3 linked regions of the Coturnix japonica genome follow. The protein of the gene in region 2 interacts with the protein of the main gene of each other region in a biochemical or structural test. Links are inferred from orthologs where the notes say so. Each region holds a gene or a part of one and is shown on either strand. Other genes may lie near its edges. The genes, in order: MYOD1, HDAC1 and CDKN1A.

What was found.
Region 1: the proteins of HDAC1 (region 2) and MYOD1 form a complex in vitro, tested with the Homo sapiens proteins (2 studies listed by BioGRID). The link is inferred for Coturnix japonica from reciprocal best matches to the Homo sapiens genes HDAC1 and MYOD1.
Region 3: the proteins of HDAC1 (region 2) and CDKN1A form a complex in vitro, tested with the Homo sapiens proteins (2 studies listed by BioGRID). The link is inferred for Coturnix japonica from reciprocal best matches to the Homo sapiens genes HDAC1 and CDKN1A.

Annotation. Positions count from the first base shown.
Region 1 is NC_029520.1:16,197,608-16,201,356, forward strand, and holds the start of MYOD1 (myoblast determination protein 1 homolog), read left to right. Parts: upstream 1-1,177; 5' UTR 1,178-1,349; coding exon 1,350-1,910; intron 1,911-3,031; coding exon 3,032-3,110; intron 3,111-3,737; coding exon 3,738-3,749. UniProt on the Homo sapiens protein: Acts as a transcriptional activator that promotes transcription of muscle-specific target genes and plays a role in muscle differentiation. Together with MYF5 and MYOG, co-occupies muscle-specific gene promoter core region during myogenesis.
Region 2 is NC_029538.1:4,505,255-4,508,060, forward strand, and holds part of HDAC1 (histone deacetylase 1), read right to left. Parts: intron 2,084-2,806; coding exon 1,945-2,083; intron 1,872-1,944; coding exon 1,730-1,871; intron 1,604-1,729; coding exon 1,511-1,603; intron 1,211-1,510; coding exon 1,102-1,210; intron 925-1,101; coding exon 784-924; intron 305-783; coding exon 196-304; intron 116-195; coding exon 1-115. UniProt on the Homo sapiens protein: Histone deacetylase that catalyzes the deacetylation of lysine residues on the N-terminal part of the core histones (H2A, H2B, H3 and H4).
Region 3 is NC_029541.1:1,948,441-1,952,189, forward strand, and holds CDKN1A (cyclin-dependent kinase inhibitor 1), read left to right. Parts: upstream 1-1,033; 5' UTR 1,034-1,155; intron 1,156-1,537; 5' UTR 1,538-1,542; coding exon 1,543-1,924; intron 1,925-2,247; coding exon 2,248-2,297; 3' UTR 2,298-3,206; downstream 3,207-3,749. UniProt on the Homo sapiens protein: Plays an important role in controlling cell cycle progression and DNA damage-induced G2 arrest. Involved in p53/TP53 mediated inhibition of cellular proliferation in response to DNA damage.

The sequences.
Region 1 (3,749 bases), on a different chromosome or scaffold from region 2:
CAGAACAGGAGATTAAAAGTGTCCATTAATCCCTTAATCATAAAGTTAATGAAATCACACAGCAGAAGTGCTGCAGTACTTCAGTACTGGAGAAAGACCTGAACTTTGCAGCTCAAGTGATATTCCAAACCCAGATTCCAGCAGCCTTGAGAGATGTTACCAAAGCCACACAACTCTTCCATATCCCCAACTCTGCCACAGCTTTCTGCCCAAGAAAGCTTATTGCACTCTTATTGCACAAGCAATTGGACTGCAGTGTGGTTACACGTGCGGCACAATGCCACTCGCGACGTAATGTCAATCTCTTCAAAGGCTTTGGAATTAAGGTAAGCTGAGCCTCGAGTTCAAAGGGGAACCTGAATCGCAAACGTACACATCTGAGCCGAGGTGCAAAGAGTCACTTACTGTAACTCAGGTGGGTCACAGCAGAACCACGGCCGCACGACTCAGCCCAGGAGCCGCGCGTTTCCCGCAGTCGCGGTGCCCCGTGCCTCAGGCCAAGCTCCGATAACCGTGCCCGAGCCCCGCCCGACCCCTCGCAGCTCCGGGGCACGACCCGTCGATGGCGGCACCCGTCCCCATCCTCACACCTCGTGGTGCGGGCGCTCCGCTGGGGTTCTGACAGAACAGCTCCCGAGCGGCGTCACGCGCCCGAGCGCCGTCAGAAAGCACGCGGCAGCAGCCCCGGCGCGTCGCTGCGGGGCGAAGGACGCGGCGCTCCGCGAGCCGCCCGTCGGGCCCGGAGCCTCTTCCCGCAGCTCCGACGGGGCGGTTCGCTCCCGTTCCCTCCGCTTTCCCCGAGCTCCGCCGACGGCCGCGGGCCGCTACTCCCCCCTGCAGGCGGCCGCGCCGCGCCGCAGCCCCGACCCCGTCGCTGTCCTCGCCCCGCCGCCCCGGCTCGTCGCGCCGTCCCCCGCTCCCGGCTCCGTCGCGGACGCCCCCGCCGTTACCGTGCGGCCGCGGCCGTCCCTCCGGCGAGCGGGGATCCGGCACCCGAGGGCCGCTCGGCCCTCCCCGCGCCGCCGCGCGCAACTCCCCCTTCCCCCCCGCAGGGGGCCGAGGCTCCGGGGGCTCCGTTAGCCGCGGCCCCCTCCCCGCCCCGCCGCGCCCCGCCCCGGCCCGCCGGGGGCTCCGGCATAAATACGGCCCCGAGCGGCGCTCCCGAGGCGGTGCGGCTGGGGAGGGGTCGGCGGTGGTGGTGGTGCCAGCAGTTACAACCCGCGCCGGTGGCCTCGCCTGGGACAGGGTGCGAGGACCCCACTCCCTGCCTGCCTTGCACAGACACCCTCGGGACCCCCCCGCGCCCCCCGACCACCCTCTCGCCCCGCTCCGCATTCCCGATCGCCCCCATGGACTTACTGGGCCCCATGGAAATGACGGAGGGCTCCCTCTGCTCCTTCGCGGCCGCTGACGACTTCTACGATGACCCGTGCTTCAACACATCGGACATGCACTTCTTCGAGGACCTGGACCCCCGGCTGGTGCACGTGGGTGGGCTGCTGAAGCCTGAGGAGCACCCGCACCACCACGGGCACCACCACGGGCACCCACACGAGGAGGAGCATGTGCGGGCACCCAGTGGGCACCATCAGGCCGGCCGCTGCCTGCTGTGGGCATGCAAGGCCTGCAAGAGGAAAACCACCAATGCTGACCGCCGCAAAGCCGCCACCATGAGGGAACGGCGGCGGCTCAGCAAGGTCAATGAAGCCTTCGAGACCCTCAAGCGCTGTACCTCCACCAACCCCAACCAGCGTCTGCCCAAGGTGGAGATCCTGAGGAACGCCATCCGCTACATCGAGAGCCTGCAGGCCCTGCTGCGCGAGCAGGAGGATGCGTACTACCCAGTGCTGGAGCACTACAGCGGGGAGTCAGATGCCTCCAGCCCTCGCTCCAACTGCTCCGATGGCATGGTGAGTGCCCTGGGCAGGAGATGAGGTCCTTCCTCCTCATAGTTCAGCAGCAGAGGGAAGCAGGGTCCCCACACGCCAGGTCTCTGGGAAGAGAAGGGAAGTCTGTTAGATTCCTGGGAGGAAGGTTAGGCAGTCCCTGTGTGCCTGCAAACACAATGGCCTCCAGGCACCTCTGATTTCATGCTCTGCTGTCTGTCCCTCAAAGGACAGCAGTGAGGCAGGTCCCCTTGGGTGTGGAAATTGCAGGGGAAAACGTGCAGGGCAACTGGTCAAGCATAGTGTTTGCTTTCTATCATTCATCGGGATAACAGGAGGATGGCCCAAGTAACAGGAGTTGTTTTCCTTGACCCTTAAGAAGGCCAGCTCTCCTCTCACTTGACCCCTCTGCAGACATTTACCAGCAAGAAAAAGAGTCCAGGCTTAGAGCCTTGGGTTATGGGGAGGGGACAAGGGTGGCTGCAGGACTGTTGCCGAGAACAGGACCACAAGGACACTTCTGCATTTTTTTTTCTAGTGGGGATAATAATCACTGAGCTGAGTTCTTGGGACTGTGAAATAGTTGGCAGGTGGGAGAGAGTTACAGAAAGATCCGCTCCTCAAAATGCAGCCTTTTCATTGTAGATTCACATACTGAACAGAAATATATTGGTCAGGATTTGGCGGTCTTTCTTTACAAAACCAGAGTAAGAAGGGAAACTGCAGGAAATCCAAAGGTAGAGTAGCGGCTTTCTCAGAGGAACTCAGGTTTGGAAAAGTCTTCCAAAGTTAGATCAAAAGAATTCCTCTCCTGAGCTTCCTTTCCTAAACTGACCATACACGTAGGGCAGTACTGATGAGTTTGCTGGAAAACCTCATCTCTGGTAAAGCCACAGCTTCTGTCATAGCAATGGTGGTAATTTGCCTTTGGAACAAGCATGGATTTACACATTCTGGTGTAAATCCATTCCTTTTTTTTTTTTTTGGCAAGTTAATTCTGTCTGCTTCATTCTACAACACAAACTTGACAGCATTTCAGCTGAGAGCGATTGCACAGATTAGCTACTGAAATACAAGATCAGATGGTTCCTGGACCTGTGGAAAAGGCAGCCCTCCAGCCTCACTCAGATTATTCTCCTTTCCAGATGGAGTACAGCGGGCCGCCTTGCAGCTCTCGCAGGAGAAACAGTTATGACAGCAGCTACTACACAGAATCACCAAATGGTGAGTATCTACTGTTGAGAATATGTCTATGTGAAGCACGGAGGATGGGGTCAGCCATTGCCGTAGCCTCCCCATGGCCTTCTCCATCCCCAGTCACTTAGCCAGGCTGGGGAAGGAGCCTGCCTGTCCAGCCAGTGAGCTGCTGAGGCTGGCAGAAGCACTGGATTTCATGTAAATGTATTTGCAAGTGCAGGGGATATGTTATATCTGCATTTCCCATTTTACAAATAGAGTGTCTAGGAACACATCCTTCTCTGCTGCTGATTTTTAGTCTTAACCCCATTTTGCCTGAAGCCTGTTCTAACCAGGTATCATTGATCCAAACTGGAGAGATGCCTGATGGAATTCCAGTCTTCCATTCCTTTTCTGAGGACTGAAGTAGAGCCCTGGATCCACCCTCCCTGAATAGCAGCCTGTTTCACTTGGGTCTCTCCTCTGTTTCACAGATTGCAATCCATTTCCTGATAACTGGCATCCTTCACTCATACCCATTTCCTCTGATTCTTTGCATGCTCTCAGATGTGCACTTCAGCCACTTAGTGGGCTTTTCATTTCTTTATGAAAGAACTACATCCTATGATATAAGTACACAGTGGGTAAATGGATCACATTTGCCTTTGTTTTCAGACCCAAAGCATG
Region 2 (2,806 bases):
AGGATCTTCTTCCTCTTCATCTCCACTGTCTTCCTGAACAGCATCCTCAGGAATTGGCTGCATCTGGACACCAGGGGCATGAGGCAGCATGCGCAGATTCTCAAAGAGACGCTGCCTAGAGCCAGCCAGGAAAGGAACATGTTTGTATTTACCCAGCAAAAGGTGTCAGCCATGTGAAGAAGGGCAAACACTTACTTGATCTTCTCAAGGTACTCGTTGGTATTTTGGTTAGTCATGTTTGAGGGACTGATGTGCAGCTTAAAGTCTGGTCCAAAGTACTCAAAATAGTCATTATATGGGAGTTCTGCATAAGAGTTAAAATAGAACAAAAATCAAATCACCTCTGGACCAGTAATGAGATCCCTCATATACAGCAGATTTCAGTGCGAAGTAAGAGCACAGCTGTACTTTCCCAGAGGTAGGAGTTGACCATTTCATAGCCCAAACTCAGATCAAAACAGCCAGCTTAGCAACAGGGCAGTCTAAGCTCACTTGGCAGTTAAATGTTATCAGTGTGAACAAAAGATAGCAGTAGAAGGTCATCTCGTTTGCAAGACTGCTGGGTATCTCTTGATGGAGGGGAAAACTAGAAGGCTGTAATGCAAACAAGAGCAACTACTGCAAACCACAGACTCAAAAAGCTCTTCCACAGTAACAACCAAGAGCTAATGAAACATCTTGCTGTTCCTGCCTCCCTGCAGCAACACTCCCTCCCTGTGCTCTGTCACTAGGTAAGTAGCCATTGTCTCTTGTCTTGCCTCAAAAGTTCCAGGGGAAAATTACCATTTGGGATCTCAGTGTCCAAAGCCACAGCAGTCTCATAGGTCCAGCATCTGGCCACGTTGCGGATTGTGTAGCCACCTCCTCCCAGCATCAGCATAGGCAAATTAAAACTTTTGACAAACTCCACACACTTGGCATGACCTGCAGCAAAGGCAGCAGGGAAAAAGGCAATAACGCCATGGCACAAAGACCCATTTTTCAGTGAAAAGTAATAAGATTACTTATGCCAATTTAGCTCAGGCACTGTGCTGCACAGTTCTGGCTTCTTGGCATCACAGACCCAGCCTTGTTATTTTGATGGAAACACTGTATTCTTACCTTTGATGGTCAGATTAAAACAACCCAGCCTGTCCCCAGACAGTGAATCCGACCCGCACTGCAGGACAACTGCACTAGGCTGGAATGTCTCCATCACTTTAGATATCACCTAAACAAGAAACTCATTGTTACACTTTCTCCACAGGACAGTGTCACAGCAACACAGTAATGTCCATGTCAGCAAGTGACGTGAAGACATCCCTGGTGTTCCCACAGCTGTTGACTCCCATATACTGGGAACACTGGGGCTCTTACCAAGAAAAGCTAAATGATAACAGGCTGCAATTGTTAGGGAGGAACACAGCCACTGAGGAATCTTACAACAGCAGTCTGAGTCTCCTTAAAGAATGGCTCCATGAGCCTCCCAGTGACAAAGTATGATGCACAAAGAATCACTCAGCACACTTACCGGCTTGAATATTGCCTCATAGGACTCATCATCAATCCCATCCCGGAGGGGATAGTTGACAGCGTAGTACTTGCCTTTGCCTGCACCAATGTCCTGTTAGAGGGAAAGACAGGACAGAGCACAAGGTCACCATAGCACACAAACTGCACAATCAGTATGACGGCAAATGGAAGAGTGATCACATTTCAGAGCAATTTTCTGCTAAGGTTCCATTCTCACCCGCAGGTCCCCTGTTCCTGGGAAGTACTCTCCATACTTATGGAAGGACACAGTCATCACACGGTCTGTGGTATAGAAGGCTTCCTCCACACCATCTCCGTGGTGAATATCAATGTCAATGTACAGGACCCTCTGGTGATACCTAGGATCAGAAAGGAGTCAAAATGCTGCATTTCATCAGAGCAAATGGGAAGAGGGCAAAGAACTGCACCTACTTTAAGAGCTCCAGGATAGCCAGGACAATATCGTTGACATAACAGAAGCCAGAAGCCTCTGACTTCTTAGCGTGGTGAAGGCCTCCTGCCCAATTCACAGCAATATCTGTCTGTTGCTTGTTCAGCTTCACAGCGCTGGCTGTTGGGAGAAGAATTACAAAATGTTAGCACAAGGGCAAAGGACCAATGGCAGAGGCTCAGGGGTGAAGCACAGGTCTCTTGTCATCACATCATTGTTTGTGTGTGCTTTGGGCACAAACCCAAGGGCTTAAACACTGGATGTCTCAACAAACAAACAAAGGAAATGGACGAGAAACGCAGCCTCTGTTTCGCATGCACACACTTTTGGCTGCTTCCCCCACCTACACCTCAGAGCACGAGATCTGCACAAATAAGTGCACAGCTTTCTAGCCCAGCTCACACACGAAAACAGCCCAGAATTCCCAGTGTGCCAAACAATGGACTTTAAGGAAAGGTTTTACCCAATATATATTTAGGTCAGTCACTGAATACGCATTTAGACAAGGAACATTCTCTCCCACGGCTCCTTTGTAAACTTTCTGCAGTTTTGCAAGTCTCCAAGGATTAACAGAAGTGATACATTCTGGGGACGCACAATCTTGGGATCACAAAGCACAGCTACTTCAAGAAACAACATCAGAACGCTGCGGTCAGCACTGGTAGGTACTGCTCAACTGTGTGACAGGAAGCCAAGATTGCTGGATGTCACTGGGGGAGTAGCAGACACAAAGCCCTACTGTAGATGCACAGTATCACAGTCCTGAAGTACCACATCTCCTTGGTACAAAGTGTTTTAAATGTTCCAGCTTCTGCCTCATGGCCAGAGACATTGGCTTTCTGC
Region 3 (3,749 bases), on a different chromosome or scaffold from region 2:
GTGCTGGCTCCCCCTGGGATGCAGCCAAACCGATTGCATTCATCTCACATCGCTTTGCTTCATTCTTGCCTCACTGCAGCATCGCTCCTGCTCTTCCTCCATCAGTCATCATTGCAGATCACACTCCTCCATCAGCTTCAAGAAGCTGCCAGCTCTGACAGCCTCATTCTCACCCCACATCCAGAAGGATCCAACCCCAAAGCGACCACCTTGGCCTGGCCCAGAGCTGCAGGAGGAACTGATGCTGGACAACACTGCTGTGTGACGCACTGCCTGCAGCCGGACATGTCCAAACATATCCTTTATCTGCTGGGAAATGCTGGTTCAGCCTGGGAACGGATGCATTGGGGGGCTTTGCACGGGGGGCTTTGCACACTGCAGGGCTCAGCTGCAGCCCACCAGCTGCAGGCTCACCCAGCTTAGTGCACCGCCTGCCTTTGTGCTGCCATCTCCTTGCACCCCAAGCACTGTTTGCTGCCCAAACCCAATTCCTTCCCCCTATGCCCCCTGCAGCCCACCCAGCTGAGCCCTGGCACTGTGCTGTAACCCTGACGGGGAGCTGCACAGCGCTCAGACCTCCCCTGCTGTGTTTTGGGGGGGGTCATTTTGCAGCGGGGCCACACGTCCCTGCATGCAACCCGCAGCTTTGCTGCATGCAGGACATGCACGGGCTTGTTCCTGCTGCTTGCTGACCTCAGGCCAACCGGAGCTCCCCAGCCCAGCTGCATTGCTGGGGGGTCCGCTGGTAGAGCAGAGCCCACCTCGGGGGCAAAGCACCCAGGGGTGGTCCCATAGGACCCCCACCCCAACCCCCGTCACTCCCCATCATTGCAGCATCCCGTGGTGACCCAGGAGGGGCCCTTTTTACTCTTCAATTGGCAAAGCCGTATTGAAGACCCTCCCGCATCCTTCGCGTTGTATGGGGGGGGGGGGGGTCCCGCATCGCACAGTAGGCGACGACCCGCTTTCCATATGGGGGTCCGTGCAGCCCTATGGGGGGGGGCACTGAACCCCCCCCCCGATAACAGCTGCTCTGCGGTGGGGCGGGGGGGGGAAATCCCGAGCGACGCCGTGAGGCCCCTCCCACCCTCCCTGCCCCGATATAAAGGGCGGAGTGCGGGGCTGGGAACCGCAGAGAGCGACGGGGAGTGTGGGGTGAGTGCGGTGCTGGTGTCGGTACTGGGGGGGGGAAAAGAAGGGAAGGGAGAGAAACCCCAATGGGGGGTGATTGGGGACGGGGTCGGGGGGGCTTTGACAGCTCCGCTCCTCCTGTGGGCCGGACCGGGTCGGACCGGGACATGCTGGGACTTGTCTTGCTCTGAGCTCACCCCGCTGATAGGAAGCGGCTATTTTTAAGTGACCCATCCCGGGGGGGGGCAGAGCGGTCCCTCATCTATTAACGCAGTTCTGTCCGGGTTCAATGACCCCCTGTGCCAGCCTGCCCTATAGCCGAGATCATTAACACCCCAGGGGTCCTGGGGGCTCCCATTATATGCACTGGACTCATATCCCCCCCTCTATATCCCCCTCCCCACAGCCGCAATGCCGCTGGCGCAGAGCAGGACCGGCCCGATGCCGTGCAGCAGCAAAGCGTGCAGGAACCTCTTCGGCCCCGTGGACCACGAACAGATCCGGAACGACTTCGAGGAGCTGCTGAGGCAACAGCTGGAAGAAGCTCAGAGACGTTGGAACTTCAACTTCGAGACGGAGACGCCCCTGGATGGGCACTTCAAGTGGGAGAGGGTCCTGATGGCCGAGCAGCCCCCCCGGGTAGAGCCCGGCAGCAACGGGAGCTCAGCACCACGCAGGGTCCCCAGTAAGGATGGTGTCGGTGGGGCTCGTTGTGGGGCAGCCCAGCAGAGCTCGGAGCAAACCAGGGTCGGTTCTGCACAGCACTTGAAGCGGGGGCAGACCACTGTTAAAGGTGAGTGGTGGAGGGGGGATGCCCCTCATGCCATGGGACCACCCTTAGCACAGAACCATCTTTGGAGGGGAGAGGCAGCAGAACCAGCCTCGGGTGTCCCATAGGTAAAAAATACCCCCATATGGATCACCAACCTCAGTTCCCATGGCCCAAAAGTGGCTCAGCAGTGGGGATGTGATGGGACCAAGTGATGCACAGCCCCATAAATGCGGGGCTTTGAAGCTATGAGCCCACCTGGCTGGGGCTGGGGTTGGGGTTGGGGTTGGGTTGCTGCCCCCTCCTTCTGCTCCTGATACATCCCAACTTCTCTTCTTGCCCTGCAGACTTCTACAGCTCCAAGAGAAGAGTCGTCCATGACAAGCCCAGGCTGTGACTGCTGCTGGGGATGGATGCTGATGCTGCCGTGCCCTGGAGGCTGTCGTGGCTCTTTCCCTGCCCTGCACTGTCTGTACAAAGCGATACCGAGTCTATAGTTCCCTATTTATGAGTAGCTCTGGGGTCCTGAGTGGCCCATGCTGTGTGCAATGTATAGGAGGAGCCCACGGGAAGGACTAAGGACTGGAATGGAGCAGGTGGGGCTGAGGGTGTCTCCTGCCCCGTGCTGGTGTTGCCCAGCAGCATCCTGCTGTCTCATGGAGCAGCCCCATGGCCCTCCCTGCTGTGGATCACTGGGTGTGAGCCCTGCATGGAGCTGCTCCCAGTGTGACTCAGTGATGTGTTGGTCACACAGTGGTGACAAATGTACTTGGAGGTGTGTACCCTTGAGGCCGGCACAGCTCGGGAGGCACTGGGCTGCTCCAGGCTGTGCTGCCCCATTGGGTTCTTGGCGTGGTGTTGGCTGGCTGTGCATCGTGCAATGCTGACATTAAGCTGGATGTTGAGCTGCTGCTTGGCACTGCCAGCAGGGGCTGCCCCTGCAAGAAGTGCCAGCTTTTCTCCTGGACTATTTCCTACTCCAGAGCCTGACCTGGCTCCTGCTGTTGTCTCTGTGACCCAGGGATGCCCTATAGGACACAGCCCTGCTCTGGGTGCTGTCGGATCTCAGCACTTTCACTGGTTTCCCCCTCTCTGTATTGGGATTGGGATTGGCACGGGGTGTTCCCATGTAGAGGAGGAGGGTGCTGCTCCCAGCTCATACCGTGATGCACTTTGCTGTCAGAGATGCTGGCAAGTGCCCAGCATTCAATGTTTATTTATGAAAACACTGTTTTAAGGCTTCTTGGAAGGGGAAAGAACCTGTTTGTCTGCGAGTGTAACTGAATAAACACTTGTCTGGTGGAAAGAGAAGGGGTGGCTGTTAATGGGAATGGCTGTTAATGGGAATGACTGCTGTGGGGTGTGCTATGGGGGGTGGGGGGATGTTATGTGTGGGTTGGGGGTTGCTTTAAGGGTGCAGCCACAGAGGTGCAGTTTGATGCTGGTGGGGAAGGAGCTGTGATGTATCTGTGGGGGGGTTTGGGATGTCCAGCTGTGGGATGGATCCAGCAGGACAGGGATGGGGGCTCCTGCTGTGGGTTGGGGTCTATGGGTGGGTTGGGATCCATTGCTGAGCCCTTTGTGGTGCTGCAAACAGGAAACGTGTGCACGTACCGGCAGTTGAGTGCAACCCCAAAGCGGAAGGCTGCCTTGAGTAAGAGAGAGAATGACGGTGTGGGGCCGGGAGGTGCACAGCAGCGATGCAGGCTGTGTGAGGCTGATGACCCCCCAGCCCTGGGGAGCCCCACAGTGTAACCAGGCAGCACCACCCCAAAACTGAGAGCACGTGGAGAAGGTAAGGTTTGCTCAAGGGGGGGTTTGGTGTTAGGGATGCAGGGCTGATGCCTGG